4 linked regions of the Notamacropus eugenii genome follow. The protein of the gene in region 3 purifies or fractionates together with the protein of the main gene of each other region. This does not show direct contact. Links are inferred from orthologs where the notes say so. Each region holds a gene or a part of one and is shown on either strand. Other genes may lie near its edges.

Region 1 (7,270 bases), on a different chromosome or scaffold from region 3:
TAGCAGATTCTTTTTATTTTTTAAAATTTTACATGGGACAGCTGGGTATTATTAGGTGAGGTTTTTGTTTTATTACATTCGTTTTGAAAGTTTCCTTTTTATGCTTCATAAGCATAAATATTTTTGTATACAAATAACAGAGTATTGTGTATGAAACTGAACTTCTGTTACATGAAGTTTTTTTAAGTTGATACTGGACGTAATCTGAGAACAAAATAAGTGCCCTGCTTGTCTTTGTCCCTGTCTGCTCTCCTCTGAGCATTTTCAATGTCACTTGACATTCTTCTCTCCTTTAATTCCCACACCTAACCTTCCTTTTTTCTTTGTTGACAATCAACAGGAATTTATGGAGCACCTGCTAGGTGTCTGACATGTGCCTTGGGCTGATGACAGAAACTTAGGGGCTGGCCTAGAAAAGAGCCTATATTCCAAATCCAACACAAAGTAGTTGTATAAGTATTTATAGGATAAAGATACAGATAATGTCAAGAAATACAAAGTAGTTAAATACAGGGTAGTCTGGAAGGGGAGGGTACTGCTGCTGTTTAGTGGGGGGAATGAGGAAAGACTTCATAGAGAAAGTAGTGTTTGAGCTCTGTCTTAAAGGAAGACTGAGAGAGCCTCCCTGACGTAGAGGTGAAGAAGGCTGACATTCTGGCAGTGAGTACCAGGAAGAGCAATGGCCCAGGCTTGGGAAGTGGAATATGAGGGGGCTTGAGGTCCAGTGAGGCTGGGGTCAGGATGTGAAGGGTTTTTAAGGTTAAACAATTCATTATTTTATCCTAAAGGAAGTGGGAGGCAGGGACTCTGATTGTTTGAGAAGGAGAGTAACAAGGTCCCATCTGTGAGACTTGAGGCAGGAAGACCAATCAGGAGGCTGCTTCAGCAGAGCCTGAGCTGAGGTGGGAGTCAGGTGCTCTGGGGCCATTCAGACGGCAGCCCATCATTTTAGAAGTGCTGAGAGTCCTGCAAAGGCAGTACATCATTTCATGGGTGGGGGACAGGGGCTGGGCCTCCCAGAGACTGCGATTTTCCTTGTGTTCTCTTAGCACCTTCTCTGGGCTCAATGTTCGCTGCAAACTGACCTTTCTCTCTCTGAATTTTGCGTTGAGGTTGTCGTTAGTATTGTGCGCTCTTAGTCCATTGGCCTCCTTCTTGTGGCTGCTCCTGCTGTCACCACCTCAGCCGCCCCCACTACAGCCAGAACCAAAAACAGTATGACCAGTATGTCAGGGGGAATTCTCAGAAGGCACTCATGAAGCACTGAGACCTATGGAAGAGGGGGCACATGCAAGAGGCAACAACTCAGTAAGAAGAGATGCCTTGGTCAAAGGGATGTACTTAGGACTACATGGGGGCTGGGCAGCCCTCACTTTTCCCTATTTGTGGAGGGATTAGGCATATCCAAGGCCTGATGACCAAATCAGCCCCATCCCCCAGCAGGAGTTTGGGGGATATTATTGATTGATCATAGCGGTGGGGGTGGGAGGGTGGAAACTGGGCTTTTAGGTTCTGATGGGCTAATTAAGCAGCCCCAAGGTGGGGGGAAGGATCCAGGTAATGAAGAGGCAGAATTGTTATGATCACCATGCAGGAACCCCAGAGTAGGTGGGCCCTACGTTGTGTTTTCCCATTTATATTTTTGGAAGCATTATGTGTATTGTTTTCTTTGTTCTACTTACCGTACATCAGTCTCTGTTTCCTTTTTTTCTTATAACACTATATTATGTTGTATTAAAGTACCACCCTTTGTTTAGTCATTCCCAAATGACAGGTATCTGCTTTGGTTTCAGTTCTTTGCTAGTACAAAAATGACCACTATAAATATTTTGGTGCATATGGGGATCTTTCCTTTTGTCTTTAACCTCTTTGTGGGGGGGCATATTTCTGGCAGTAAAATCTCTTGAGTCAGAGAATGAGCATTTTCGTCACTCTCTCTGCATAATGCCATAGTGTTTCTAGATTGGTTGAATTATTTCATAGTGCTCTTAATAAATGCCCATCTTTTGTCATTTTTGCCAGTTTGCTGAAACCCCTGAGTTCTTTTGATTTGCATTTCCTTTTTAATATTAACTTGGGGCAGTTTTTTTTTTTTTGGCATGGTTGTTGATGTTTTAAAATTTTTTTGAAGATTGCGTATTTTTGTTTTTTAACCACATATTTATTGGAGAATGACTTGTGGTTTTATATGTTCCCTTAGTTGTTTATATGTTTTGCTTTTAAACACTTCTCAGAGATTCTTTGCTCCCTAACCCATCATTTCTTTTATTTTTATTCTAGTTCTATTGATTTTGTTCATGGAAACACTTTTCAATTTCATGTAACTGAAATTATCAGTTTTATCTTTTTTGAATCATGTATCCTTTATTTGCTAAGAAATTATTCTTTAGACAGCTGTGAAAGGTACCTGATCTACTTATAATCTAAATTTTTAGTAAAATTATCTTTAACATTTGGGTCATCAATTTTGAATTTATTATTGGTATAAGACAGAGGTGTCAAATATGTGGTCCATGTGGGAGGCCTGAACCAGATTAAAATGTCATTGGGAAATATTTTGCAAAATGAATAAAAATGTAGTAAAACAGTTAATGTTAATATGTAGTTTTCTAAGCCAGTATGCACCTACTGGGATCCTTATGTGTAGTTGTTTCTATTTGACTTTGATGTCACTGGTATGAGATGACAGTAGTGCTTTTAAAGTTCTAATGGCTGTGTATATGTTATCTCACTTAAGACACTGGTCTAAATCTAATTTCTTCCAAACTGTTTTCCATGTTCCCCAGTACTTAATATCAAACAGGGAAGACTTACCTAGGTAAATTCTATTTTCAGGTTTATTGAGGTTATATACTTCTCTGATTCTTCCTTGGCTAGTCTTTTCTGTTGATCAACTTGAACGAGTATTGATTTTGACAGTTACTACTTTCTAATGTAGTATTGTCATTCTTATTATATTGGCAAAGCCCAACCATGAGCAGCAAATATCTGTTATTTGTTTTTTCTTGAAATAGTTTTGAACTCTATAGAGTTGATTTTGTAATCGTATCCCTAGTCCTCCACACAGTGCTTCACAATACTTAATAAATGCTTTCTCATTTATTCATTTTACACAAATATTGACTGTAACTCTAAGATATCTTATACCTTTCATAGTTATTTTGAAAGGGGTTTATTCTTGCCGTGGATTTTGTCATTACTATATAGAAATATTGTTGATTTTTGTGGGTTTATTTTGTAGCCTACTTATTGAAGCTGTTAATTATCTACATTAATTTCTCTGCTGATTCCCTAATGTTTTTTAAAGTAGATTGTCATGGCATCAGCAAATGAAAGTAATTTTGTCCTTTTTGGCTATCTTTATGCTGTTACTTTCTTTCTTTGTTGGAAACTTTCTAGAACTTCATCAAATAACACCATGTAAAGGGAACATCCTTGCTTTGCTTTTATATTTATTGAGAAGCTTTTGTATATATGGTAAATAATGCTAGCTTTTGGTTCTAGATAAATACTTTAAATCATATTTTATACTTATTCTTCGTAGGGTTTTTTATTATAAGTAAGTGCTATAATTTGTCGCAGGCTTTATCTGTAGTTATTGATATAATATGATTTTCAAATTTTTTTTAAAAATTTGATTAATTATATTGTTTTCTTATGATGAGCCATCGTAATATCCCTGGTATAAATAAAATATATAGGGGATAATTTCTTGGATAAATTGTTATTCTTTTTTGCAAGGATTTTATTTAAAATTTTTAATTAATATTTGATGGTGGTCAGGTCTTTTGATTTGTCATGTTTTCAGATTGTGATTCTTAAGTTGTCTCTGTGCATATCTATATTTAAGGTTAATGGCTTTGACTAATGTACAGATTGTTTGTTCTTTTAACATTTTCACCTTTTGCTATTTTTTCCCCCCAAGATGTTCCCCCATTTAAGAATTTTTGTATTCTAAATATATTAATCTCTCTTTTCCTTCTTTGGAAAAACTCTCCATTGTGTATTCATTAAAAAAAAGAGAAATGAGCTAATTTCTGCATTAACACATTTTTGGCTATATTAAATGACATTTTTTTTCTAATGGATTTCATTTTTCTGTTGAAGAATTCTTGAAATCCATGCATGCTCTCTATATTTAATCAAACATTGGTTCCTTTTTCTTGTAATGTTTATATACTTTTTTAGGACTTCGTACTTACATTCCTTTTAATTTTAGAATCTTCTCTCTGGATTTATCTATTTGTACTCTTGGGTTTTTTTTTGTTTTGTTTTTAGCTTTTCTCTTTTTAAAAATTTGGGAATTTCAGCCCTTTTTTCCACCTACATCTGACTTTTTGACTTTCTGGTCCAAGTTGCAGAGTTGCCCTGGTCTCCCTTCACCTGGAGTGATTCCATGTTCACCAGCCTGGACCTTAAGCGAAGTAGCCTTGGAGGGCTCAGTAGTTACCCCAGGGACTTTGGGCTTTCATCCTTTCCTTTCCCAGCTGGGCTGAATCAGCATTTGCTGCTTTTTGCAGTGATGAGGGGCTGGTGGGGAGGTTGTTCTCAACTATCTCTTTAGCCTTTGGGGTTCCTGTACCTAGGCAGTGTGTTTCCTCCCTTCACCCTAACCCCCCCCTCCCCCCCGGGGGCTCTTGACCTGCCATTGGTAGTTGCTACATGAGTAGCCCATTTTCTCTTTTTATCAAACATTTCCCCAATATTTTTTGCACCTTTTCTTTTTTGAAATTTTCTTTGGAGGTGGCTCAACCTCCTGCCCATATACCTCATTTTTGCTGTTTATGTGATATGAATTTTCATTTCTTTGGAGATTTTTCTGCTTCATGCCTTGGCTATGTAAGAACACTAGTAGAATGTTAGTATTAAAACATAGATCTTTGTTTCTGGGAGAAGTTTGGGTCACAGAAGGAACTTGGCAATTTTTCAAAGACATCCAGTTTCCTTTCCTCCTCTTGTTTAATTATGAGGCCAACTCATTCATTATCCATTTGTACTGTCTGTCATATATACGTACATATCCACATACATATGTATACATAACACACGTATGCATATACATACACACTGATGGATAAGCTCTGTAGGTTGGCCATCTAACCATATGTCAAAATTTGGACAGTAGATGTTATTCATAGACTTAGTTTTTCCTACGTGCATGGTCAGGCCAAACTTGTTTGAGTGGTTATGAATCTCTTCCAGGAGGATCTGCAGTGCTTCGAAGACTTGATTCAAATAGCACCATGTCACCAGCAAATAGGAAATGAGACTTCACCATTCACAGGGAATCTCTTTTAAATTTGGACTTTATACAAATCTTCTCCATTACAGTGATACTTGAATACTTTTGGTGAGCGTATATCACCCTGTTTTATGCCTTACTTGATGTTTAATGTCATAGTGATTGTTGAATAAGGCTATTTCTGTTACATCTTTCAGGGAAACTTGAATGATTTTGATGTATGGGTGGGAGTTATTTTGTGGGAAGAATTCTTTTAAGGTGGCATTTTATTTTACCAAATCAAAATAAAATTAATATTTGACAAATAAGCCCAGGAGGATCTCGTCTTCACTATATCTTTCATCAAATGCTAGAAAACAAAGAACATAACCCATGGTAAAGCAGTGATTGCAAAAGCCTGCTCCCTCCTGACTCCACTGAGCCTTCCCTCAATGCAGATCCTGAGGAATCTCATGGAGCTTTTGTATAGATGAAATTATCACCATGTCTTTGGTACCTATTCCTTCTGGATTCACTCTTTTATGCTCTCCTAATTATGCAGCTTCAGCACAGATTTCATTTTATGTATATGTGGTCCAATCTGGCTGCTTTTCCAAGCTTTTTTTCTGTTTGGTGCCATTTCTGCCTCCTCTGTCAGACCACCTGGGATTGTTCTTGAAGGTGAAAAAATGTCATAAAATATTTTGCAGATATTTTCTATTTTTCTTCTGTTGTCTTCCTATTTTCATAAGAATGAAAAATTTAAAAAATTTTTTAAAATGCCCATGAGTTAACTCACTTTGCTTATTAGTTGATTCCCTTGCCAAACTTTTTAAAAGCTGATTTTACTCCACTTACTTTCTCAAACTTTATAAAATAGTATTTCTTATAATCATAGCCTTTTTATGACCTTGGGGAAGCCATCCTATCGCTCTGCGCCTCACTGTTCTCATTTGTAAAATGAAGGAATAGGACTAGATGACTATCAACATTCCTTCTAGCTCTACTTCTATGAGCTTGTGATTTTTGGGAAGGATTTTGCAAATAAGTGTATTCTAAACTGGTATTGTCTTTGGCTGCCTATCTCTGTTCACTTGGCAAAGAAATCAAGTTTTTGTTGATTAAGTTGCTTTTTAGGCTTTTTGGTTCTTCGTGTTATGGTGACTGATCTACACTAGTTAAACTAATGTGTAAATTATTAAAATTGGTGCCTGTCATTTTTCCTGTCAATTACTCATTTTTCATGATCAATTACTTGTTCAGATACTTCAGATTTGAGTTTTTAAAAATTGTATGACAAGTTAATGGTCTGACTATAGTGAGATAACTGATTCAAGGCTGACTTTACCACATCCATAGTGAATCTTTTCAGATCTATTAAAATATAATCAATTATATGTATTTTCGGTAGTATTATTCAATTGATTCATTTCTAGAATAAAGTATTGATGAAATAAAGATTTTAAGCTTCTGAGACACAAGTCTTTAGCCTCTGTTATTTTTTCTTCCTGACCCATATTTTGTGCATATTCCTCAACATTTTTATTCATTTGACAGAAATAAAACAAGTTAAATATTGGTGGTAGAAGTTGTTTTAATAGGATTATACAATTTAGCTTTGGAAGGGACTTTAGGGAAAATCTAAAGTCAGCTACCTTAGTTAAGGAAGCTGAGCCCCAGAGAGGTTAAATGAGCATTCTCTTCTCCCATTTCACCTCCCCACTCCTTTATAGCATTCACCTCCCAGTGACTTCACAACCTTTTTCACAAGATAATTTTGTTAAATACAGTAACCAAATCATTATCTACTTTCTGATGTAACTGGAATATTATAAAAATAAATCATTTCTTTAAAATATTGTCTACTTTCTAATATAAAACAGTTATCTCTTTTCGAGTTGTTAGTCATGTTTATTTAAGGTTACACTAAAAAATATTTTGACTTTTTCTGACATGATCTATTTGCCTGTAGCTAGCTAGCTCAGCAAACAGCACATGCTTATAGCACACCTACTATGTTTAAGCCCTATGCTGATATCTGGGATTATA
Region 2 (7,700 bases), on a different chromosome or scaffold from region 3:
TGCCATCTTTCAAATGTGCGTTATAGTCTCCCACCTCTGAAGGAAAGTTTCCAGTACTTCACCTGCTGAAATTTTATTCCCATCCTTCAAAATCCATCTTCCATTCCAAGGAGGAGCCTTCCTTCATGATCCCAGATGTGAGTAACCACTTTCTTCTGTAAAATCCCATTGTTTTTTTACTTGGTGCCCTATAAACTAGCTCTGGAACTATGCTCTACTTCATATGCTTTGGATGTATTAGGAGATGTGACTCCTGATTTCCCCAGAGATCTCAGATCTCTGCAGAAGGCTGAGACATGGAGAAAGAGTTGGAGAGAGACGGATCAGGAGACACAAGGCAAGGACTTTTCAAATGAGGTCTGGAAATCTTTCTTGGAGCCAGATATGTGGGAGAAGTCAGCCTCTCATCCTCAAAACCTGCACTTTCCACCCTAGAACCTGCTGAGAGTGGACTCTCCAGGGGGAGATCAGTCCCTTCTTCTTTGGCTGAGCTGAGGTGTTTGCTTCCAGCTTTACCATCGGCCACTCTTCAGTTTATCTGAATCTGTATAACTTCCCTGACTTTTGTTTACTGTTTTGCTTAGATAAATGGGTTTATTCAAAACAATATTCATGATGGTCTTTTACATAACCAGAGTTTAGTGGGGTTGGGAGAGTTAGGCTGGCTATTTTCAGCTATTACCTTCCTCTTGAGAACAATTAGGGACAGCACCCTTTATTTTGAACATTGCACTCCTAGACTTACAGATATTTGATGTGTGATATATAGTTATAATTCTTGCTCAATCCTCTTCTTGTAGATGAGCAAGAGAAGAAACCAGAGGCCAGCCATGATCATCATATTATTCCCAACAAAGGCTAAAATAAGTGTCTCTTGTAGAAAGGTGGGCCAGGCCCCTGATCAGATCTATGCCACACTTAACTGTCTTTTATTTATTGGATAGTATACACCCACAAATCTTACATTCATATTTCTTTTGTGGCCCTTATCTTTCTTATAGTTATTAAATAACAATACATATACATACATACACACGCATACACACATTCAGAATTAGAAGGGACTTTAGAAAAAGTCTGCCTCCCCTCCCATTTTGAAGTTAGGGAAGCTGAGAGCTTAAGTACCTTTCCAGTTTGCGTAGTTGTAAGTTGTAAAGCCTTGTTTCAAACCTATAGCCTCCAACGACAAACTCAAAGTGCTTCTGCTACAACAACACAGTAGTCTCTCTCTCACTCTCCCCTCCTCTTCCACAGGGAATCCTGTCTCTCCCCCAACCCCCACTCCCATGTGCCTTCCTCCTTCAGGGGTAGGACCATCCTTTTGTCTCTTTAGAAGGTGGAGTCTTTTGGTGAGATAGGCCCTGGTTCTTGGGTCCCTGGAGGAGTCTGGGCAGGACCAAACATCTCATTACCAAGCCCGGGGTGGAGGCACAGATCAGAGAGTCCAAATGTGGAAGGATACTCACCATGATGATTGGTCTGCCCACAAGGAAATAGACCAATGGGGTACTAGTCCCACCCCCAACCTGTCCAAAGCCTAGCCTGTCAGTTTCCTAGAGGACTTGGAGAGGCCAGGTAGGTTGAAGAGAGGGAAAGGGCTAGAATGGGGCTAGGGGTAGGGGTGGGCTTGGGGGTAGTGGTGGTGGTTGTATGTGTATGTGGTTGATGGGGGTAGGTGGGTGAAATCTAATGGGGGGAGGCCATTTGAGGGGCAGCGGAAATTCTCCTTCCTCCCACTCCCCATATGCGCCTTCTGGACTCCGGGAGGCAGTTGCCATGGAAACACCCCCTTAAAAAAATCTCCCCCAGAGATTTGTCCTCCCCTTGGTCTTTGCTCCCGCTTCTGTCCTACTGTTCCTCTCTCTCCTCTTTCATCCCGTCTCCCTTCTGCTTTCTCCCTGTGTTTCTGTCTGTCTCTGTCAGCTCCATCTTCCCCCACTTTATTTCTTCCCGCTTCGCTCTCGTTCAGTATTCGTCCCTCTTTCCTTCTGTCACCTCCTTTCGCCTGCATCTCTTAATTATTTTTCTCATCTCCTCCCCTCCTCCCCCCATCTCGCTTTCCCTTGGCGTGTCTCTCCGCTCCCTTCTCCATCTCTTCCTCGGTCTCGTCCACGTAAATAGGGGCCACTGTCCCTATCCCTCCTGCGTCGGCCCCTCTCTAGCGAGCCAAAGCTGGGGCAGGGGGCGGGGTGGGGCGGGGCTCGCCTGTTGTCTCCTCGCCCCCAGCCCCCTCCCCTTCCTTGGCTTCCTCCTTCTTCTCCCCCTTCCCCTCAGTTCGGCGCCCAGGCCCTACGGCCCGATCAGGCCCTCCCACGGGGACTCAGGTGTTGGAACTGCTGGAGGCTGAAGGTGACTGAGAGATGGGCTTGGGGGGCGCGGGGCGAGCGGAGCAGGTGGAGGGGGAGGGGTCGAGAGGCGGGGACCACAACCGTAGCGTTGGGCTCTTTGTCTCCATTAACTCCTTCCTGGCAGCCCCCCTTCATCCCCTCCTTTCGCCAGCAGGTGTCTGGAATCGAGGTGTATGTGAGAGTGGGGTGGGGGGATGCTAGACAGACACCCCCAGGAGCACACCCCGACTCAGTAGCCCCCACTCGCGCGAGAGACAGGAGCAGAGCGGCTCCCCTTTCGCTAAGCTCTCCATCTGCTCGAAATGAGGCATAGGTTTCTGATCCCTCGCCCCTTTCTCAGGCCTAGCTGGAACCTCAGTTTTCCCTCGTCTTCTTAGGGATCAGATGTGTCGAGGCTGAACACTGAGACAGGAATAGCACCTGTACTGGGGAGGAGAAGCTCTCTGTTTTATCCCTCAGATATTGGGGGTGGCAGAGATCTCGAGTTTGTGTGTGGAATCAGGGGAAGGATGACTGGGTCTGCTGGGTGGCAGAGGATAGGATGCCTGGGTCCTGGGTGGTGGCGTCAGGACTATGCTAGCTCTTCGGGGGGAGGGGTAGATGGTGCTAATCTCTCTCTAAGCTGTATATGGGGGGGGTGGAGGGGGAGGGGTCCCCATCTGCCATCTAATTCCCTCAACCCGGTGCCAAGGGGCTGGTTGCTATAGGATGTACACAGGAGAGCTGGCCCCAGCTGGAGGGGGAGGCAGGTATTTGGCTCCCTCCTCCAGTGGAACAGAATACAAAAGAAGTATGGGGAGCATGGGGGCTGGGACTGAGGGATTGGACAGTTGGGTGCTGGAAAAGGCAGAAGAGACTGGGTGGGGGAAGGTACTGGTATGTCTGGGTGCTGCAAGACAGATTGGGATGCAGGTGTCATCCTCTGTCTTTGTTGCAGGATGAATACTGGAGTTAAAGCCAAAGCTGGGGGGAGTCGATCCCTGGCTCCCCGTCTGCCTAGCTCCTCAGTGCCAGGGCCTCTTGGGACTCCTAAAAGATCAGGAACAGTGCCCCCACGAACCACTGCTGAGCCTCGAGCTGTGGTAAAGAAATCTCCAGGGGAACAGGCAGGAAGAGCAGCCCCCGTCCTCAAGGTAGCCACAGCCCTACCTGGGCCCCCCAGAACCAGCAAGACAGGCCACAGCGTTCCTAGCACAGGTACGGGACCCCAGGTCTTGTCTCTTGCCAGCTCCGATTCCTGAGGCTGCTTCTAGGACCTTAAACCTGTCCTGTCTCTTGACTCTTGGTCCTACTACCTAACAGTGACCTTGAATCCTATTCCCCCACCCCTGCTCCTCCTTGATGGTCCCTCCCTTTACTATGCCTTCATTTCTCTTCTCCAAATGTCAGAGAATAAAGGGAGCGGAATTTGGGGAAAACAGATTGGCTGGCTCAAGCTTCCTGAGGTGCCCTCCAGGACAGATAATGCAGGACTCCTGGCCTTAGAGGAAGGCCTCCCCTCATCCATGCCCTGTCTCCCTCTTCCCCCCCCCCCCATCCCCTTTCAAAGGTGTGTTTAAGGTGTTATGGGAGGACAGAGGAGGTCAGGATTGAACTGACCTGGAGTGTCTCCCGGTAGTGCCCAGGCAGCCTTTGGTGAGGAAAGCGGAACCAGTCCCAGGTGCTGCTGGCCGAACCTCCAGGAATGACCCTTCCCCAAGAATGTCCCCTCTCCAGACTGCTCCCTCCTCGGGCAGGTATGACCCATTTCCAGACAGGGACCTACTCAGGTATGACTGAACACTAGGAGTAACAATTATCCTTCTCTGGTGAGCTTCTCCCCTAACGACCCGTCCCCAGATAGGGCCACTCCAGAGTTGGACCCTCCCCACCCATGGCCCCTTCCCAGGCAATGATCCCCTGCCCAAATTGGTCCCTCCTGATTTATGACCCTTCCCTAACAAAACTCCCTCCCCAGATATGCTGTCTTCCCAGGTGTGGCTCCTCTCAGGGGCGAGTATATTACAGGGAACAGATTTATTTTACAACCTTAGATGCAAATGTGTATGAACCATTAGCTCTTGTTCTAGGGAAGGGGACAGGTCCTAAAAGACTCTGGGGGACCTAAGCTAGCTTTTCTTATCTGACCCAGGCTTTCTTGTCTCATCTAAGGTCAGGGCTTCAGGGCTCCAAAGTATCCATTCCAGCCAAGCAAGTCCGCTCTACCCCTGCAGAGTCTGCAGCTAAGCCTAAGGCATCACTAGCTTCCAACCCCACAGGTCGGAACAATTCGGTCCCAGCAGAGGCCAGGAGAGGTAGGAGGGTCAGGGGGATAGTGATGGCATGGGGCTCAGGGCCAGAGGATGGTGGCCTGTCAGCAGTGAGGAGTACCCAGTGAAGGGATTTGTGGGGAAAGGGCACCAGGGAAGGAGCTGGGGCTGACACCGCCCGCACTCCCATTCCAATTTGGGGAGGAGCCAAAAACAACCACTAGGTGCAGGCAAAGGGGGAAGGTCTCCTAGGGTCTTGCAAAATGACTTTCCCAGAGGCCTTTCTCTTGTCCTATCTCTTTCAGATACTGCTCGCCCAACTCAGGGAGCCCAAGTCTCAAAGGCTGGGCTCCCTGGGTCACGACTGCCCGGAGCCTCAGGACCCGAACCAGGGTCTCTGCGGGCTCCCCCCAAATCCAGGGCCCAGCCCTCTCCCCTACCCAAAGCCACAGCCCCCAGAAGAACCTCCAAGAGCCCCGGGGACCCTGTCTCCAGCCCAGCCTCTGTGGTCAGGAGGAAGTCCAGCGAAAGTTTTTCTGGTGTTCAGTCCCGCCTCCCTGGACCCACCCGTCGCCAGGACAACACTTCTGCGGCCTCATTGGCCCAGACCTCTCTTCAGGCCCTGCCCTCAACCTGTCCAGTAATTCGGTCCAAGGGTCCCTCCCTTCCCTCCACACCCCCGCCTAGCCGAAAAGAACAGGCTCCACCCTTAGCCACACCCCCTAAACATGCTCCTCCCCCTTCCTTGACCACACCCCCTCCACAAGTCAATCCCTCTCTGTCCACATCCCCTCAGAAGGCCCCACCCTCTCCCTTAGCCACACCCACTATACAAGCTATACCCCCTTCCTTGCCCACACCCTCTCCACTAGCCAATCCCTCTCTGTCCACATCCCCCCAACAGGCCCCACCCTCTCCCTTAGCCACACCCCCTATACAAGCTATACCCCCTCCACAAATTAATCCCTCTCTGTCCACATCCCCCCAGCAGGCCCCACCCTCTCCCTTAGCCACACAAGCTACACCCCCTCCACAAGTCAATCCCTCTCTGTCCACATCCCCTCAGAAGGCCCCACCCTCTCCCTTAGCCACACCTCCTATACAAGCCACTCCCCCTTCCTTGCCCACACCCCTTCCACAAGCCAATCCCTCTCTGTCCACATCCCCCCAGGAGACCCCACCCTCTCCCTTAGCCACACCTCCTATACAAGCCACTCCCCCTTCCTTGCCCACACCCCTTCCACAAGCCAATCCCTCTCTGTCCACATCCCCCCAGGAGACCCCACCTTCTCCCTTAGCCACATCTCCTATACAAGCCACTCCCCCTTCCTTGCCCACACCCTCTCCACAAGCCAATCCCTCTCTGTCCACATCCCCTCAGCAGGCCCCATCCTCTCCCTTAGCCACACCCACTATACAAACCACTTCCCCTTTCTTGCTCACACCCCTTCCACAAGCCAGTCCCTCTCTGTCCCCATCCCCTCAGCATATTCCATCTTCTTTAGCTTCCAGTCCTCTACTGATCCATCCTTCTCCTTCAGTCACATCGCTTCCTCTGGCTCCTCCCTTTCTGACCACAGACCCTCAACAGGTCCCACCTTCTTCTCCCTTAGACCCGCCCTCCCTCCAGGCCACATCTCCAGCCACACCTCCTCCACAGACCCCTCCCTCTCCTGTGGCCACACCCATCCAGCCTATTCTCATTCCTTCAACCACTTCCACTCTTCAGGACCTGACTCCTCTTTCACCCTCTGAACAAAGGGCTGACTCTCTCCTGGCCACACCCCTTATTCAGGCTCCACCCTCTCCCTTGGCCCCACTCTCCCCCCCTCAGGCCACTCCTCTTCTACAGGGCTTTCCCTTAACCACATCCCCTTTACAGGAGCCACCTTTGCCCTTAGCCACGCCTCCTCGCCAGGAGAGGGTGGGGCTTTCTCAGAGGCTCTCCATTTTAGCCACACCCCCTCTACAGACCCCTCCCATTCCTTCAGACCCACCCTCTCACTTGTTCCCACCCTCTCCTCCCTTGGCCACACCTCCTCTTCAGGCCTCTCTTTTCCCTTTGGCCTCACCCCCTCCTCAAGCTACTCCCTTTCCTCCAGCCTCACCCCCTCTGCAGGTCCTTCCTTCTCCCATAGCCACACTCTCTCAACAAACTCCATCCTTTCACTTGGTCCCGCCTTCCCCACCCCTGGTCACACCCCCTCTTCAGGCCCCTCCCTTTCATCTGATCTTGCCTTCTCAGGCACCATCTTTGGATACTCGCCCTTTGCAGCCCCCTCCTATTCCTCTAGTTTTGCCCCCTCCTCCCTCTCCACTAGCCACGCCTCCTCTTCAGGCTCCTCCCTCTCCCCTGGACACACCTCTTGTGCCACGCTCTCCCTCTCCCCTGGCTAGAGCACCTGTGCTGACCCAACCCCACTCACAGACTGAGCCTCCTGGGGAGCTGTCCCTTCCCGAGCCTGTCTTGTCCTTGGGAACCTTGGGTGGGGAGCTGTCCAGAAGCCCTTCCAGCACTCTGAGTGGCCCGGACCTTGCTGGCCACAGCAGCAGTGCCACAAGTACACCGGAGGAGCTGCGAGCCTATGACAGTGGTCCCGAGATAGGAGCCCCAGCTTCGCCCCCACCTGATCCTGACCTCGAACTTGCTGCCTGCCATCCTGCTGTCTGGAGCCGGCCGGGGGTCCCCACACGGAGCCCCTGTACCACCTCCCCTCGACTTGCCCATGCGGTCCCAGGTAACCCCAGCCAGGGAGGAGAGGGAAAGGGCCTGGAGGAAGAGGGCAGCTTTTTAAAGAGGGGAGGTCTCAATCCTGTCCTTCCTTCCTCTAGGTGAGCCACTGCCCTGGTCCCCTATGGCTGGGCCCCCAGATGGCTTGTCCACAATCTATGAGGCAGAGGCCCCGGAATCAACATTTGGGCCCCCAAACAGGGAGGCACAGGATCAGGAGGAAGAGGATGATCAGACCGTGGAGAAGATGCCTCCAGCTCCACGTGGTCCCAAGGCAGCTCGAGTGGGTGAGCTGCAGCTGGGAGCATTGCAGGCCAGTGTAGTACAGCAGTTGCTGAGTCGGACACTGCTGTTGGCTGCAGAGGGACCAGG
Region 3 (7,748 bases):
AGTTTAAGAAGTGCTGAAGGGGTCATTAGTGAAAAAAGCTTAAGAAGTCCTAGTATAATAAATACCTATATAGTCTATACAGCCTAGACTTCACTTGGGAAATGATATAGTGTTTTTAAAGATCTTTCTTGAAACAAAGTCCCATCATTTAACGGCAAAATTTTTCTGGTAATGTTACAGTTATATAGCAAGGGATACTAATTAGTGAAGAATTAAAATCAATAAAGAGTTTACATGTACGCATGAGAAACCTGCAATATATTACCAATGAAAAACTGATATTATTCATATGGGAAACAAAAGGAGGAATTCTGTTTCCATAGGATGAAGACTCCTCCCAGCTTTGAGTAACAGCAGAATGTAAGTCAGAGATGACTAATTCTAATCAGAGTTGTGACCTTGCAGAACCTGGCTTCTGATCAGGTAAAAGTTCAGAAGCTTGTGTGTATGCTTAATGAGCTGTTTGAAAGGGAACCTATCAGGGAGAAAAATATGAAATAGGATATTTAGGAGGCTTCATCTCATCTTCATCTTCATCAATGGAGAGCAAGGTGGGAAATTCGAACTGGGAACAGCATAAAAAGGCTTGCATTATTCTTGCATTATGAACAAATGTAGCAGTCCATTAGGAACTACCTGTTCATTCAGGAGGGAATAAACATAAAAATTAATAAAAGTTTTCCAAATTTCACAATAAGTATTGATCTTTGTTTAAAGTGAGTATATTTCTAACACTCAAATAAATATATGGCTACCAAAATAAGTACACATATACTGAAAGCAAAAAATACTGGTACTCAAACAATATTCAAGTGAGCTAGAGAAAGACCCCTGGCAGAGATTCACAGAATTGCAAGGGATGAGAAGTCATGGATGGATTGTGATTTTTATCAATGAAGGGGTTGAAGACCATCTAAGAATTAAAATATAGGTATTTTATTTCCACTACTAGAATTAAAATTCCTTAAGCGCAAGGAATTTATCATATATCATTGTATCTCCCTCAGTGCTATATGCAATGTGTATATATGAATGAACCAAAATATGTCTTCACAATTTAATCACCTGTGGAAAATATTGCCAAGTGTTTCACTTAATAAAGATTTTAGTTTTACACAATTAGCCCACAGAATGGGTAGAAGTAGTCCCTTATTTATTAATGGGGCACAGATCAAAAATTAATGGATAAGAAGGCTGTTCAGAACCCCAAATGTAATTTATAAATGCTAGCTAAGATTCCTAGACCAGAAAACAAAAGGCTACTTAAACCACAATGCAACTGAACTATGGTGCTAGTAAAACTAGTCTGAATTCTGGTTCCTGAAAGCAGCAGCCACGTGGTACAAAACTGAGGAACAACAAGACTCTCTCCCTACGTTTCAGGTACAGAGCAGGCCCTACGCAAGCTTTTTCTATGCCTCTTTCTGTATTTTCTATATCTTTAACATATTATCTATATTTTCCCACATATTGTCTATATCTCTTTCTCCCCTATTCCTCCTAGATCACAAACAAGGTTCTCATACTATCTAAATCCTCCACTTACATCATCAGCCAGCATGCTGATGTGATAACTGTCACTACATTTCCTGTAATCATTTTCAAAATAAAAAATTTTAAAACTAACTTAACTGCACTTTTCTTAATTATCATGAGCAGCATCTATACTGTGTTATTTATAATTATCAGTGATAAAAGAGGCATCTGGCAAAAACTGCAAACAAATAATATAAATCTAATGAGTTCTGGTTAAGAACCTTATGACAGTTTTCAAAGAGTTATACTGGCAATACTTAAAACTAAAGTAATTTTTTCATTGCCAAAAGTATAACATTTTTATAACATACTTCTGAACCACATTTCTTTTGTTTGTTTTGTCCTAAGATTCTGCAAGAGATACACATTCCACAGAGACATTTTAAGAAAAGTTTAACACGTTACTACATTGGAAAAGTTGTTCTGCCTATGAAAACATTGAGCCATTAGGATGAAAGGATACTGTCAAGACACCTAGCAGAAAGTTATGATGCTAAATCAGACAATCATGATAACAATAACAGAACTCTATCATGTGTAACTTGACCTATATTTGGTTTTGTGATGAGTTTTAAGTATTAGCCAAGCAGTATCTTTCACTCAGGAAAGCTTTACAGGACATTAGGAAGAGTTGTACTATATCAAACCAGGAGAACAGATGCGTTTTCAATTTTCAGAATATACAGTGTATTCATACAAATATTTATTAAGTAACAGTAAAATAAAAGAATGAAAAACTATATTCAATCATATCAGACAGGTAACAACATCTAATATCTACCAACATTTTATGAACAAAAAAATGGGGAAAAAATACATAATTTATAACATTTCACAGAAAAAAGCCTGTAAATCTATTTTAATACTACATTTATTCCAAACAAAAATCCTATCCTGATTCAAAAGAAGTGCTATGGCTTTAAATGTCTAGCAGTTTAAAATCAACTCTAGGCTGAAATCACAACATCCATTAGTGTGTTGCACAGTTCAGAGCAAGCAAGTGGTTGTCAGTGCAGCCAGTAAATCACCTGATCCTATTACAAAATCAATTACTGCAGCGCGTTCCCATTGCTACACAACCCGATGATGACAAAATGATATTGGATAGCTACTGCAAGGTCAAGAAAACTGCTAAGAACATCCTTAATTTACCTTTTATCATTAGTTCCAAATGATAATGTATCTGATTTAACTATATATTTTGATTTAAAATAAATCTACAGTTACCTTTGGTTGACTGGGGCATTCGATGGACAGTCTCTGTAACTGGTCTGATGTATGGCTGCAAGACAGCAGATCGGAGCAGCAGGTCGAACGGCCCAGCCTCTTCATGAAAGAAGAAATAATGCTGCAGCCACAGCCACACATTGACTTGCTCATCAGATGAGTTTTCTCCTTAAGAAATCAGAACTGGTACTGCCCCATATATACTCAAAATTGGCTGACTGCCTCATTCTGCAGCTTCCTAGCTGAAATAAACACTGCTAAACAGAAAAAACAACAGTGATCTTCCAGATACCAGCTACAATCTCATCACCAAGAAAACTCAAGAAAAGCAGTCTCCCACAGTCCTCTTTTAAAGGTAAGTTGCTTAAAAATTCCTAAATGTTTTATAGTGGAATTTAAGTACTTAATAAAAGAGTAAACTTATGATAAGATGTCCTAAAATTTCACTAACCACTGCTTCTGTCCTCCATCACTTTAAATGTGTTTGATGACTCCTTCAGCTCAGCCTATCGAACCTGTTCCCTCTGTAAATGCACACAATTTCACGACCAACAGGAACGAGCCTCACCCCTCCCTTGCCATGTACACACTGTTCGAGAACAGCTCAATACCTGGAAAAGAACTGCTTGCTGCATTGCTTACAAAAATAACAGGCAGTGAATTATTGGATGGATTCTTTAAACTTACCAATCAGAGCTGCTGACCTTTTATGGCTCTATACTTCCAGAGACCTGCCAGATACTTGACTGTTTTCAGAGTGATAAACTAATTTTACTACTAGGCTCAACATTAATTTACTCCATCTTTTTAACCCTATCACAACTTAAAACATAGGAATAAAAAGAAAATCATATACATCTAAGAAATGTGGCCAATATAAAACTACGCATGGGGGAGGAAGAATTGGCAAACAATTATTTTGAATATTCATATATTTTAAACTACAGAAGAACTGTGAAAGAAATCTATAAAATATCAATGCAAATAATATGTGAAATGAACTGCAAAAGGAAGCAAAAGTGAGAAAACTATTTAAAGGAAAAAAACACGCATAGCTATAGCTGGGCAGATAGTAATTACTATCAAACAGAAACAAGAGTTCTAGGCACTAAATATCACTCTTGGTAAAACTAAATTTTCTGCCATAACTTTATCTAAATAGTCAAAATGAAGTGAAAAAATTAGTTCTAGATAATTTAACAGAATAGGAACATTACATATACCCTTCTACAACCAAGAAGAAAAAAACTTTTAACGTATTCTTACTTCGACAGTAATGAAAAATTAAAAAAAAATTTTCCGCCATCTACTCAGGACACATTACAGTTTCCAGCATCCAAGGGTAACAAACTACTCTGCACATTTATAAAGTAATTTTATTTCAAGTAAGTTTCACTTATTGGAACATCTCCTGGCTATCGACTGCATATTTTATCAGCAAATTTCTCTTTAGATATAGTTTTAAATTATAAGTAGAGCTGCTTAATTTAAGAGATATAAAGAAAAAGAGTCTCATGTTCTACTGCACTGAAAGAAAAGTTCCTTATTTGTTGATCTCTCCCCTCCTTGGCTCAACACTAAAACGAGCTAGTACTGCTTCTCCCTTCACCTTGTGTTGCCCTTTTCAAATTCATGTTTCTGTTAAATCAATTTCTAGCAATACCTAAATAGAGGCATGAACTCCAAATTAATTTTTTTAAGATTTTTTTTCTACATAAAGACAAGGGATACAAACAAACAAAATAATGCAGTAACCTTTTACTCGCCTGCTGGAGGTACTGTCTGCTGCATAGAATTTTAAATCCTGATCTGCAGATGCAATTGAGCTGGTATTGCCAAGGACTCTGCTTTTTCTGTGCTGCTTCTACATGGCTATTCATCGAAAGAGCATATTATGTGGCAAAATTAAAGTACTATCTGCTGAAATTTTTCATAACATTGGGGCGGAGGTGGGAACTTCTAAAACCCTGTTACAGATTGTCCTGTCACATTTTCAGATGCCTGTCAGACATCAGAAAAGGTCGCATTGATGATATGCTTTTAACAAACATGTAGGAAGATGACTTGGAGAGGGAATCCAAAATTATTATACTGTTAATGTGCAAAGACATTACTAGTAAAACTAGGTAAAATATATGTTGCAAAAACTCTTTCCAGAAGTACAATAGCTATAATAATTAGTTTTTAGATTTATCAGTAAGTAAATCCTATTTTACTAATAGGACTGGTTAGAAGATAATTGTTTCTGGTATATTGCAGGTATGTCTGCATAAAGCTTCTCATGCATACTAATATTAACAAAACTATGAACATTTTTAGCTACTCAATTTAAACACTTTCAGAATGAAAACATAAAGCAACAACATAATTAGAAAATCAGAAGCATTAAGTACTTGTGGACTATCCAGATTTTCAAACCCTAGAGTATGCTATAATAGGGATGAAATGGGAACAGTGAAGGCTATTATTCATTATTTATGATTTTTCCCTTTATGTCAGCTAATTTAATGTACTATTGATTCTCAAGATGCATATAGATGGGGCAAGAGGCAAACCAACAGGATCATATATACAAATGAAAAAGACTATCACAAAAATCAGTGAAAGATTATTTAAAAAAATAGTAAAGCTACTGCTAAAATTTCAGTTAAATCTGTGAAACAAAAGTAAATGAATGCCAATGCTTCAATTACCATACAATTAAACTATATAATTATTCGCCAATAAAATATAAAAATTACTGGATGTTTAAACTTATGCCATTATTTTTTAAGCCTTGGGGGAAAACACAAAAATAGGACATTTAAAGAGAATAATACTAGTTTGATTTTACCTTCTTTAGAGAAAAACGAAAATACTTCAATAACTGGGGAGAAGTGTTGAGAAATACGTAAATAACAGGCTGATAATGGCTCATCTGCAACAAAGCAAATAATAATCAAGCCTAAACTGATCTATTAGATCAGACCAGACTTATGTTTCCCTTATGTTTTAAAATACAATTTATAATTTCATTTCCACTAAAGAGGAGGAAAATCCTCCCACGTTTGTACTTTCCTAACAGATATTTAAGCTGTAATCAACTTTACAAAAGTTATGCTGTGTTGCCAAAAGATGACATATTCAGTCAAACTGAACAAGATAGAAATCCTCATCGCTGTTTTATCTGATGTATACCGTTTAAAGAAAGACTAGTCATCTTTTTTTTTAATCTAAAGGTAAGATCCTTTTATCATAAATTAAACTGTATATGTTATTATGCCCTTAAATTTAACAATTCTCTCATTCATTTTAAATACTCAATATATTTTCAGTAGTTTTTCTCTTCTATGTTAAGTGTGTGTGCGTGTGTGTGTATGTGTATATACGTACAGATAAATAAAAGCACCATCAAGCAGCAAATAACTGTTCTGAAAAATTCAATTCTGACTTCCAAAAATCAAAGTGAAAAATCACTCTGGCTCTACAAAAATTCTGGAAAAAAAAATTAACTGAGAAATAAAGAAAAATTCAATAAAACACTAAAAGTTCTTTTGGAAAACACAAAAGAAATACAAAATTATGCCCCATAAGAAAAATAGAATTCTTTATGTTCTTATAAATGCTGATACATTTAAACATTAAGTAAGTCTCAAAAGAAATATGAACTTTATATTAGAAGTTGCAAAGATCCTTTATCTTCCTCCTTTCCCCCTCAGGTTCCCTACTTCCTTGGTACATTTTACATTAACATGCCAAGTTTTAATTTTTTTTGCTACAAATTCTCAGATTAAATCTGTGGGATGCAGTCCACCTAAACAAGCTCTCTACACATGGCCAAATTTTAATTATTCATTTGAAAATACTTATTAATTATCTTTTATTCATAAGATACCTTACTGGTCCAAGGGGCTTATAAAGAGGTAGACTATGGTGAGCATATAAGGTAATAACTGATTTTGATGCATGACTTATAGAATACTTTTCATTACTTTATAGTCACACCCTATACATAACCCCTATGCTCAAGAAAATTTAGAATGGAGGTCAGAAGGGGGAAGACAAAAACACGTTGAAAGTTAAGTAGTTAATTAATTCTTTAATTGTGCTTTCTTAGCTACTCTCTTATTTCATTTTCACAAGGGCACTATGAGGTGGGTAGGGATGCTATAATCCCTTATATTTTATAGTTGATGAAACAGGTTCTGTGAAGTTGCTACCTGAAAATAATCACACAGCTGGTAAGTGGCAAAAGCACAAGTCAAATCCAGGTCTTCTTGTCTTAAAGTATAATGCTTTCTTCACTAGATCACATTCTCTTCTCAGTAATGATACAGGACAAAAATATTAAAGGTGTCAAGAAATAGTAGAGAACTAAGTCCCAAATAAGTGATACAGAGAGTTTTATAATTTCAGGAGAGAGATTATTATATGAATTTGTGAATGCAGATGGTATTTGAGCTAGGCTTTGAGGAAAAAGGCAAGATCTAAGTTGACAATAGGATAATGAAGGGATGGCACTATATTTACAGGAATACATATAGCATGTGCAAGAAACAGGGAGTATACTAGACTAGCTGGAGTTGTGGGTTGATATATGGAAGTAGTAGAAGAGAGGTCAAACTGTAGAAGATCAGGAATGAAAAGTTAAGGATTTTAGACTTTATTTGGCAAAGAGGAGTCAAAGAAGCTTTTGAGCTAAGGAGTGATATAAATATTTTAGGAAAATTAATCTTGCAGCAGTGTACAATGTAAATGGGAGAGTGAAACAAGATACCAATTAGGAAAAAAATGCAATAATCCAAAGAGTGGAATGATGGGAATATGAATTAGGGTAGAAGCAGTATAAACAGGAAGATAAAGTGACAAGCTTAAGACAAAAATAAATATAATATGGCTCTTTTGATTATGGGAAACAAAATAGAAAAAAGAATGAAATAATAAACCATTATAACTGATGAATTTATCCATATCAATGCTGGAATAAGAACATAAATAATGTAATT
Region 4 (7,657 bases), on a different chromosome or scaffold from region 3:
ACAACAAAATGTTATAATAAACCAATCATGTTTCTATTACATTACATAAATAGGGACAGGGACTTGAAATTATTTCACTGGTACACTTATTATGTAAATATATTATTCAATTACAATAATATATTATTTTTAGAAATATGAACATGTTCGATTACAGCAACTGAGAATCAAAAAAAGTGAGATCATGATGTGTAGAACCGAGAACTAGCAGAAGAGAGCTTTCTTTGTACAGGAGAATGCTAGTCCATGACCTTGGTCAATAAATGTGTTTTTTAGTACTGTATTTATTGAGAAGCCAGACCCTCATGTCCTCCCTAAGGCAATTCAATGCCATTTGTTTTTTTTTTCTTTTTCTCCACAGTTTATTCTTATTCCCCTCAATTCCTGAAATTTACTTAGCACTGTAACCAGTGCCAATTCTTCTTTGATTGCTTTGAGTTTCCTCCTTCTATTTCTATGAGCAGCCTTTTCAGAACGTTAAGACAAGAGTCACGACTTATTCCCCAGTGAGTTTTTAAAAAATTGAGAAATGGAAGATGTTGAAAGTCTATTTATGAAAAAGGTCTATTTGTGTCAAAAGGTGCCTGATGACATTACAGCATTTCCTTTTTCCATATCATGTAATTTTCTTTTAACATAATATTTCTAAGGCTTCATGTATTCCTTTGCATTTGCTTCACATCATCAAATGAAAATGTGTCCCCTATAGGGAAATTTGCTCTTGTTTTGCGGAGGAAAGAAAACAAATTCAAAACAAAGTTTTGAAATGTCCCCTTGGGTGGGATTTATATACTTCGTATATCCAATTGTATGATAATCCATCTGAAATGTTGTAATGAAAATGAGGAAAGTATTTCTATGGAATATGGTGACTTGCTTTAGAAGTTACAGTTCTCGTGGTTTTTCTAAATGGCTGGCCCATGTGAAATTGGGATCATTATCACCCATAACCAAACAAAATGAACACAACAGAGCTGGGAAGGCAGAATTTATAAAGCTAAAAACTCAGAAGAAAAGCCCTTCTAGACTCAGATGTAAATGACTCAGTACTAGTTATTTAGCACTATTTGTCTTGCGTCCCATTGCTGTAGACTTTGGATATTTTATACAACAAATTTAGAAGCTACAGGACAGGTCTTGTGAAAAAGATCTGGTGGGTTTGGTGGACCGCATGTTCAAAATTGAGTATGACAGTATAAAGATAATCCTAATGCTCTCCTACGCTGACCTGAGAGGCCTAGTGTCTGGGAGACGTAAGGTGACGTTTGGGTGAGCAGAGTCCATCTGAAGGGGTGGGTGGGGCTGGGTTCTGAGAGCCACATCTTTCAAAAGGCACTTGGAGAAGCTGAGAAGTGGGGAAGAGGGGGGGACCAAGGTGTTAAACCAGGAGAAGTCTTAGGGGGGCACCTAAGGACAGCTTTTTTAAAGGAAACCTTTATTTAAGCATCTGGAGGGCTACCACATGAAAGAGGGCTTAGTTTTGCTCTGCTTGACCCAAGGGCAGTACTAGGAATAAGGAAGGGAAGTTGTAGAGAGGCAAACTTTGGCATAATGAAAGGAAATACTTCTCAACAATTAGAACTGTCCAAAGCGGCAATGGGTTAGCCTGGTGCTGGGCACTTAGAAAATGCTTGTGCACTAACTGGGTTGATTCAATAAGTAGTGAGTTTCTTCTCACTGGAGATGTTTAAGGCGAAGCTGGAAGGACCACTTGTTTGTTATTCCATGGAATAAATCCCTAGTAGGGTAGAGATTGGATTTGATGTCCTCTGAAGTTCTACCTCCTCCAGAACATGGATAGAATTTTCCAGATTTGTAGGAGCACAGTGAGTATGAAGCCCCTTCACGTGCAGAAAGAACAGGGGGTTACCAAGAAGTCAAGCACCCCATCTGCCATGTGAATGAACTCTGCCTGGGGATTTTTATGCCAACCTCACGTATATTAGTCTAGACCATTTTATTTTTACAAGTTAACAAAATATAATAGGGTAGGGATCTGAGTGGTGATTTCCTTCATGTAGGGAACTTCTGGATATAGGGGAGGGTAGCACCTTTTCTTCCGTTTATGGTCTTAGAGAGTTGCTTAGAACACTAAAGGAAACTGCAACTTGCACAAGGTTAAATGGCCAGTGGGAGCAAGGCAATCTGAACCCTGGTCTTCCTGATTCCACTCTCAGTATATAACACTGCAATAAAACAAAGAGAAGACAATTAAAAGACAAAATGAGAATTATCATTTCCTCCAGAAGGCCATACATGGAGCCTAGGAACTGAAAGAAGGACCCAAAAGAGCTCTCTAGACTTTTTTCATTAGCGCATTAATATGTTCATCAGATTCACTAATTATCACTTTAGAAAGCAAAGAGGGAGCCTGGCCCTGACGTGATGAGGTAGAGGGAGGGAGGTAAGTTAAGATCAACTGGGGCTTTGGGGGAGAAGGATTCGATTAAATTCCATTCAGGAATTATTCCTCAAGTTCTTACTATGTCCCAGGTACTGTACTATGTGCTGGGATTATTGACTGGGGCCAGTGACTAAGGAGAGAAGGGCCAAGTGCAGTATTCCTGTGGGGGCTCTTTGCTTCTGGGCCAGGGAATCGGGGAGTGAGCTCCTGATCTAGCTCTTTTGGTCTTCAGAGATTATAGTTTATTGTTACTACTGTAAAAACAGTGACACAGTACATAAAGTGCTGGAGAGAATTCTGGGAGGAATCAAGATAAAGATTAATTTCACACCAGTCACCATTTTGCCTAGGGCTGGGACAGTTTGGGACAGAACTTAGCATGCAGTGGGGAAAATAATTTGGTTCATTTCTACAATTTTGTTTAAAGCTACAATGAGAACTTGTTTTGCAGGTAGCTTTGACTATAATGTAAGATCCTTGAGGGTCCTGTCAAATCAGTTAGTACAGTAGCAGGGTGGAAAAGGCATTGGACTTGGGAGTGTAATGGTTCCTGATGAGGGGGTAGAATTAGATGATTTCAAAACTCCCTTCCAACTTTATTATTATGTAGCACCACAGAATCAGGTCCTATTTTTGCTACTTAATAGGTACCTTACCTTTGATGCATTATATACATTTCTTAGACCTTAGTTTCCTCATTTGTCAAATATGGGTCATAAAACCTAGACATCAATGTTTATGAACAAGCATTTATTTACTAAGATGTGTACACACATGTACGGGATTAAATCAGATGCACATATCTATATCTATATCTATATCTATATATATAATTTATATTAGGGGTTCTCAAACTTTTTGGTCTCAGAACCCCTTTATACTACACTTAAAAACTACTAAGGAGCCCCAAAAGAGCTTTTATTGATGCAGGTTATACCTATTAATTTCTTTTTTTAAACACAAGAGAAAATATTCTGCTTCATTATGCTTTCCAATTCCATAGTCCTTTCTCTGGATATGGATGGCATTTTGCCTCAAGAGTCCTTTGGGAATGTTTTAAGTCCTTGCATTGCTATGAAGGGCTAAGTCTATCAGACAAATTCCTTACACACTGGGGTTGTTACTGTGTACAATGTATATCTCTTAATTTCTGCTGGGTTAGAAATTAAAATGTTTTAATATTATATGAAAAGTTTTGCCCTCATGGACCCCCTGAAAGGAATCCCAATCCACACTTTTGACAACTAACTGCTGGTTTACATTATTTAGAGATTTAAGATTCACTAAGCACCTTCCTCACAACCCATTGAGGTTTTATGTACAAGGGAGGAAAGGGAGGCTCAGACTGGTGAAATGATCAGAGCTATAACTAGGGCAGGGCAATCGGACCTTTGCTTCAGGGCAATGACATTTAGAAGGTGCTGATTACACTGCAGTCTGCCACCAGCACAGAAAAAACTGAGGTTGACACTTTGTTAGCTAGAACAATTAGTTAAAACACAAACTATCAGATGGTCTGCTTTTCCTAGAGGTGCACACTACAGGATCTGTGGTTCTCTACTTCCCCTTCTTTCTCCAGAAGTAGCCTCAAGGAGCCTGGAATTTCTGCACTTCTCCTTGCTCCGCTGAATTTTTTTTTAAATTGATTTGATGACATCAGTAGGTGTAAAGACTGCTCTGAAAGTGACTAGCTGGTACCAGCGTCAGATTACGAAATCTGGGCTATATTCATTCACTTCATTATGTGAAAACACATAATAAAGGATGCCAATATACCATTAAAACAGCACTAGAAGGGTGGATTGTCTTCACCGTGTACTCAATACCCTATTGACTCCTAATAAAGTAGAATTACTGACACGGCTAATTTTAGCCTTTCAAGAATGCTTTAAAAATAAGCCAGGTTAGGGAGAGTGATAGAGGAAGGAATGAAGGAGGATGGTTAAGGATGACCGAAAGCTTCCAACCTGCGGAATAAAGGGGGAAAAATAGAAAAGCCTGGGGGGGAGGGTATCTGCCCAGCAGCGGGGGGGGGGGGAATCTGCCCAGCAGGAGGGCAGTATCTGCCCAGCAGGGGGGGGGGGGGCAGTTCACTTTAGTGAGAACGGCAGGGCTGGAGGGCTGCATCAGTGAAGACCGTGGAGGTGATTTGCTACATTGGCTGATTAGGGTAGATGACTCCCCTCAGTCCGAGTTTAATGACAGCACCAAGTTCGCCGTGGGGGAGGGGAGGCAGGGGCATTCCGGGAGTTATAAATGAGTCAGTCCAGCGCCACAGGCCGGACTGGTCTGAGCGAGTGCCCCTGCCGGGTGCCAGGCTGCCCCGGGACGCCAAGCTCTCGTGCGACGGCTCCGGGAAGGTGGGCACGCGAGCTCCGGGGGGCCAGGTAGGGCGCTTCTTTCTGCCTCCTCCCACCCCCCGTTACTTCCCCCCTTTTCTCTCGGTCTTCTTCCCACGCTAGGCACCGAGGGAGCGCTTATGCATAATCAATATTAATGGATGGATCGCATCCTCGGGAAGCCCGGAGAGTGTAGACAGCCGCGAGAGAAGGGGAAGAGTCTGCATCCCCTAGAAGGGAAGGGACGAGGCGTCACGCCCGGGCAAATGCCCCCGGGGGGGGCGGGGGGGGGAGGCAGGAATGGAAGACGCGTCGGACCACGCAGGGGCAGGGCAAGGCCGGAACGAGGCTAGGGGCGGGAGAGCCCGAGCCCGGGGTTCTTTCCCGCGTTCTGGCGAGCACGCGCACGCGCGCCGAAGACGTCGGGGGCGTTTGACCCTCCCCACCCCGAGAGCCACGAGGGTTTGTGGAAGTCGGCAAGGGGAGGGGGGGGAGAGCCCGCACGCGTGCCGGAAGCTGGCCCCGTTGCTAGGCGCCCGGCTCCAGGCCCGCCCCCTCCGCGTTCCCCGGGTGACCGCCGAAGGGGAGGGGGAGGGGTGACGGGCACTTACGTGCTGACGCTGATTGTATATGAGCGCGAGCGGCGGGCTCTCGGGTCTTTTTAGCGCCATCTGCTCGGGGCGCCGCCTCCTTCTCCTCCTCCTCCGCCTCCTTCGTCTCCTCCCGCCGCCGCCGCCCTGAGTCACAGCCTGCGCAGCTCCGGCCGCCTGGTTCCTGCAGCAGCCGCGGGTAACGGGAGCGGGCCGGGAGAGGAGGGAGCGCGCGGGGCTTCCAACGGCCGGCCGGCCCGAGGCGGGAGGGGCGTGGGGGATCCGGCGGGGCTTGCCCGCCCTGCCGGGGCCTGGTCTGCGCGCGAACGTGGGAGCGTCCGGGGCCTGGGTCTCGGCCGAGGCCGACCCCCAGCTTGAGGACCGCGGCCCGGGGCGGCGGCGAGGAACGTGAGCAGTGTGGGCCGCAGCCCCTGGAGAGGACCCCGGGCTGGGAGGGAGGGCCGGCGGGGAGCGGGGCGCCGCGCGTGGCTGCGGGTGGGGGCGAAGCCGAACACTTCTGGCGCCCACCACCCCCGCGGGAGAGCACGGCCGGGGGGGCGCTGCACCCTGCCGGCTCCGGGGGGCGGCGGCCAAGTTAGGGCCGGGGGCGAGGCGACGTTTGTCCGCCGCCCGCAACACGTGGTGGCCGCTGCATGGCCGCCGTCCGCCCCGGCCCCCTGCTGATCATCCCCCGGCATGGCCTTCCTCCTCCCATCCCCCTTCCCCTTTTTGATCATCCCGCCCCCCTTCCGATCATCCCCCACCTTTCCCTCCTGACTCCCTCTACCCCTCCCTTTACTTTCTCGTCAAGCAACCCTGAGCTAGTTGAAATCTTTGCCAAGAAAAAAACAGTAAACCTCCTTTTGGACCCTGAAATGTCTCCTCCTTGGGCCTTCTGATTAAACACCGGCTGACCCTCAGTGGTAGGTCCTAGGGAGGGTCTGAAATGATTTGCAAAAACTAGTAACAAATTTGGGGGGTTTGTCTGTCTCCTGTCCCAAGTCAAGGAATGTCCGGGGGAAGGGAATCCGTGGCCACTGGATAGAGGGCTGGACCTGTGTGATCCTGGCCCGGAGGTTTATAACTAATTCATCTCTCTGTCAAGTTGCAGAGAAGGTGCTTGCCTGGGAGTCTGTTACCAAGGTCAGCACCTGCCTGGGTCCCTCTGTGACTTGGGGGCTTGCATAGCCACTATGTCTCAGAGAAAGGACCTAGATCTTCTGGCTTTCCCAAGGCTGCTTCTCATTAATTAAAGAGCACTTTTTGCCTTTCCCGTTTAGGAACTGATTACCCAGACTGATGAAATAAAGTTAAAATTCTTATTCCTTTTCAGATTGTTTGTATCCATGTTGTGGCTAATTTCTCAATATGTTTAATTAGAATGACCAGTTCCCTTTGGGGAGGGCAGGGCAGGGTGAAACTTGACGTGTGATTTTTATTTTTTATTTATTTAGTATAGGGAGCTTCCTTTACTTTCTCTACCAATGTAGATCTATACCTTCTCAATAACTTAAAAGTCATAGAAGAGTTGTCTTGGGGCACTAAAAGGTTAAGTGGTTTATTTTGGCTTAGAAGTTGAACCTAGGTTTTTCCTGGCTCCTCTGCCAGCTCTGCTAGGCCACATTCACTTGATATCCCTGAAAAATTGGTTAGGGAATGCCAGCGCAGACTTTTTTTAACCTGGTCTTTGATAGGACTGATCTTAATACAAAAGAATACATTGCAGTTAGATTTGGTGTCATGAAAATCAAACTGAATTAACATTTCATCCATCAGAGAAGATTCTACTTCTAATAGATAAATGGATACATACACCACAACCTAGACTATACTGTATATGCTATATATGCATATGTGTAGGCAAGAAGCCTATGACTGGATTCTGAGGGAATCTAAATATTAGAAAAGTTTGGGGGCATTTTTTGTCATTACAAATGTGTAACTTCATTGCTGGGCCTACTGATTAAACTTTCTTCAGACCAACAGTTGTTTTTCTTGATTGCTTGATTTTTTTTTTGGCTGCTAGATGGTGTGTGTGGTAGATAGGAGGCTAGCCTTACTGTGAGGAGGAAGACCAGTGTTTTTAATCTTTGAGACACTAGTTATGTGACCCTAGTCACAAGTTAGCTCATGAGTCTTCCCACCTGTGTAAAATGAAGGGATTGGTCTTGATAGGTAGATCAAGATCCCTTCCAGCTATTTCTCTACAATATCTAACTTGTACTAAAAGTAACTCACAAAATACCATTTTTAGAGCATTCTGAACTGAATGAAGTAAACAAATTATTGTTTTCATGACAAGAACACCCACATAATTGTTAAAC

Evidence for each region.
Region 1: the proteins of FBXW7 (region 3) and MED13L purify together in Homo sapiens (affinity purification with mass spectrometry; 4 studies listed by BioGRID, with this or other methods). This does not show direct contact. The link is inferred for Notamacropus eugenii from reciprocal best matches to the Homo sapiens genes FBXW7 and MED13L.
Region 2: the proteins of FBXW7 (region 3) and PRR36 purify together in Homo sapiens (affinity purification with mass spectrometry; 3 studies listed by BioGRID and IntAct, counting the BioPlex papers as one, with this or other methods). This does not show direct contact. The link is inferred for Notamacropus eugenii from reciprocal best matches to the Homo sapiens genes FBXW7 and PRR36.
Region 4: the proteins of FBXW7 (region 3) and NAP1L1 purify together in Homo sapiens (affinity purification with mass spectrometry, with the first as the bait; 3 studies listed by BioGRID). This does not show direct contact. The link is inferred for Notamacropus eugenii from reciprocal best matches to the Homo sapiens genes FBXW7 and NAP1L1.

The regions. Positions count from the first base shown.
Region 1 is NC_092875.1:29,411,134-29,418,403, forward strand, and holds the start of MED13L (mediator of RNA polymerase II transcription subunit 13-like), read left to right. Parts: upstream 1-4,262; 5' UTR 4,263-7,270. UniProt on the Homo sapiens protein: Component of the Mediator complex, a coactivator involved in the regulated transcription of nearly all RNA polymerase II-dependent genes.
Region 2 is NC_092875.1:51,699,291-51,706,990, reverse strand, and holds the start of PRR36 (proline-rich protein 36), read left to right. Parts: upstream 1-4,690; coding exon 4,691-4,707; intron 4,708-4,804; coding exon 4,805-7,335; intron 7,336-7,429; coding exon 7,430-7,700.
Region 3 is NC_092877.1:150,480,775-150,488,522, forward strand, and holds the start of FBXW7 (F-box/WD repeat-containing protein 7), read right to left. Parts: upstream 3,018-7,748; 5' UTR 2,917-3,017; coding exon 2,764-2,916; intron 1-2,763. UniProt on the Homo sapiens protein: Substrate recognition component of a SCF (SKP1-CUL1-F-box protein) E3 ubiquitin-protein ligase complex which mediates the ubiquitination and subsequent proteasomal degradation of target proteins.
Region 4 is NC_092874.1:255,297,584-255,305,240, reverse strand, and holds the start of NAP1L1 (nucleosome assembly protein 1-like 1), read left to right. Parts: upstream 1-4,657; 5' UTR 4,658-4,791; intron 4,792-5,354; coding exon of another isoform or gene 5,355-6,010; intron 6,011-6,144; exon of another isoform or gene 6,145-6,256; intron 6,257-7,657. Other genes in the region: uncharacterized protein, read right to left, coding at 2,064-2,186, 5,355-6,010. UniProt on the Homo sapiens protein: Histone chaperone that plays a role in the nuclear import of H2A-H2B and nucleosome assembly.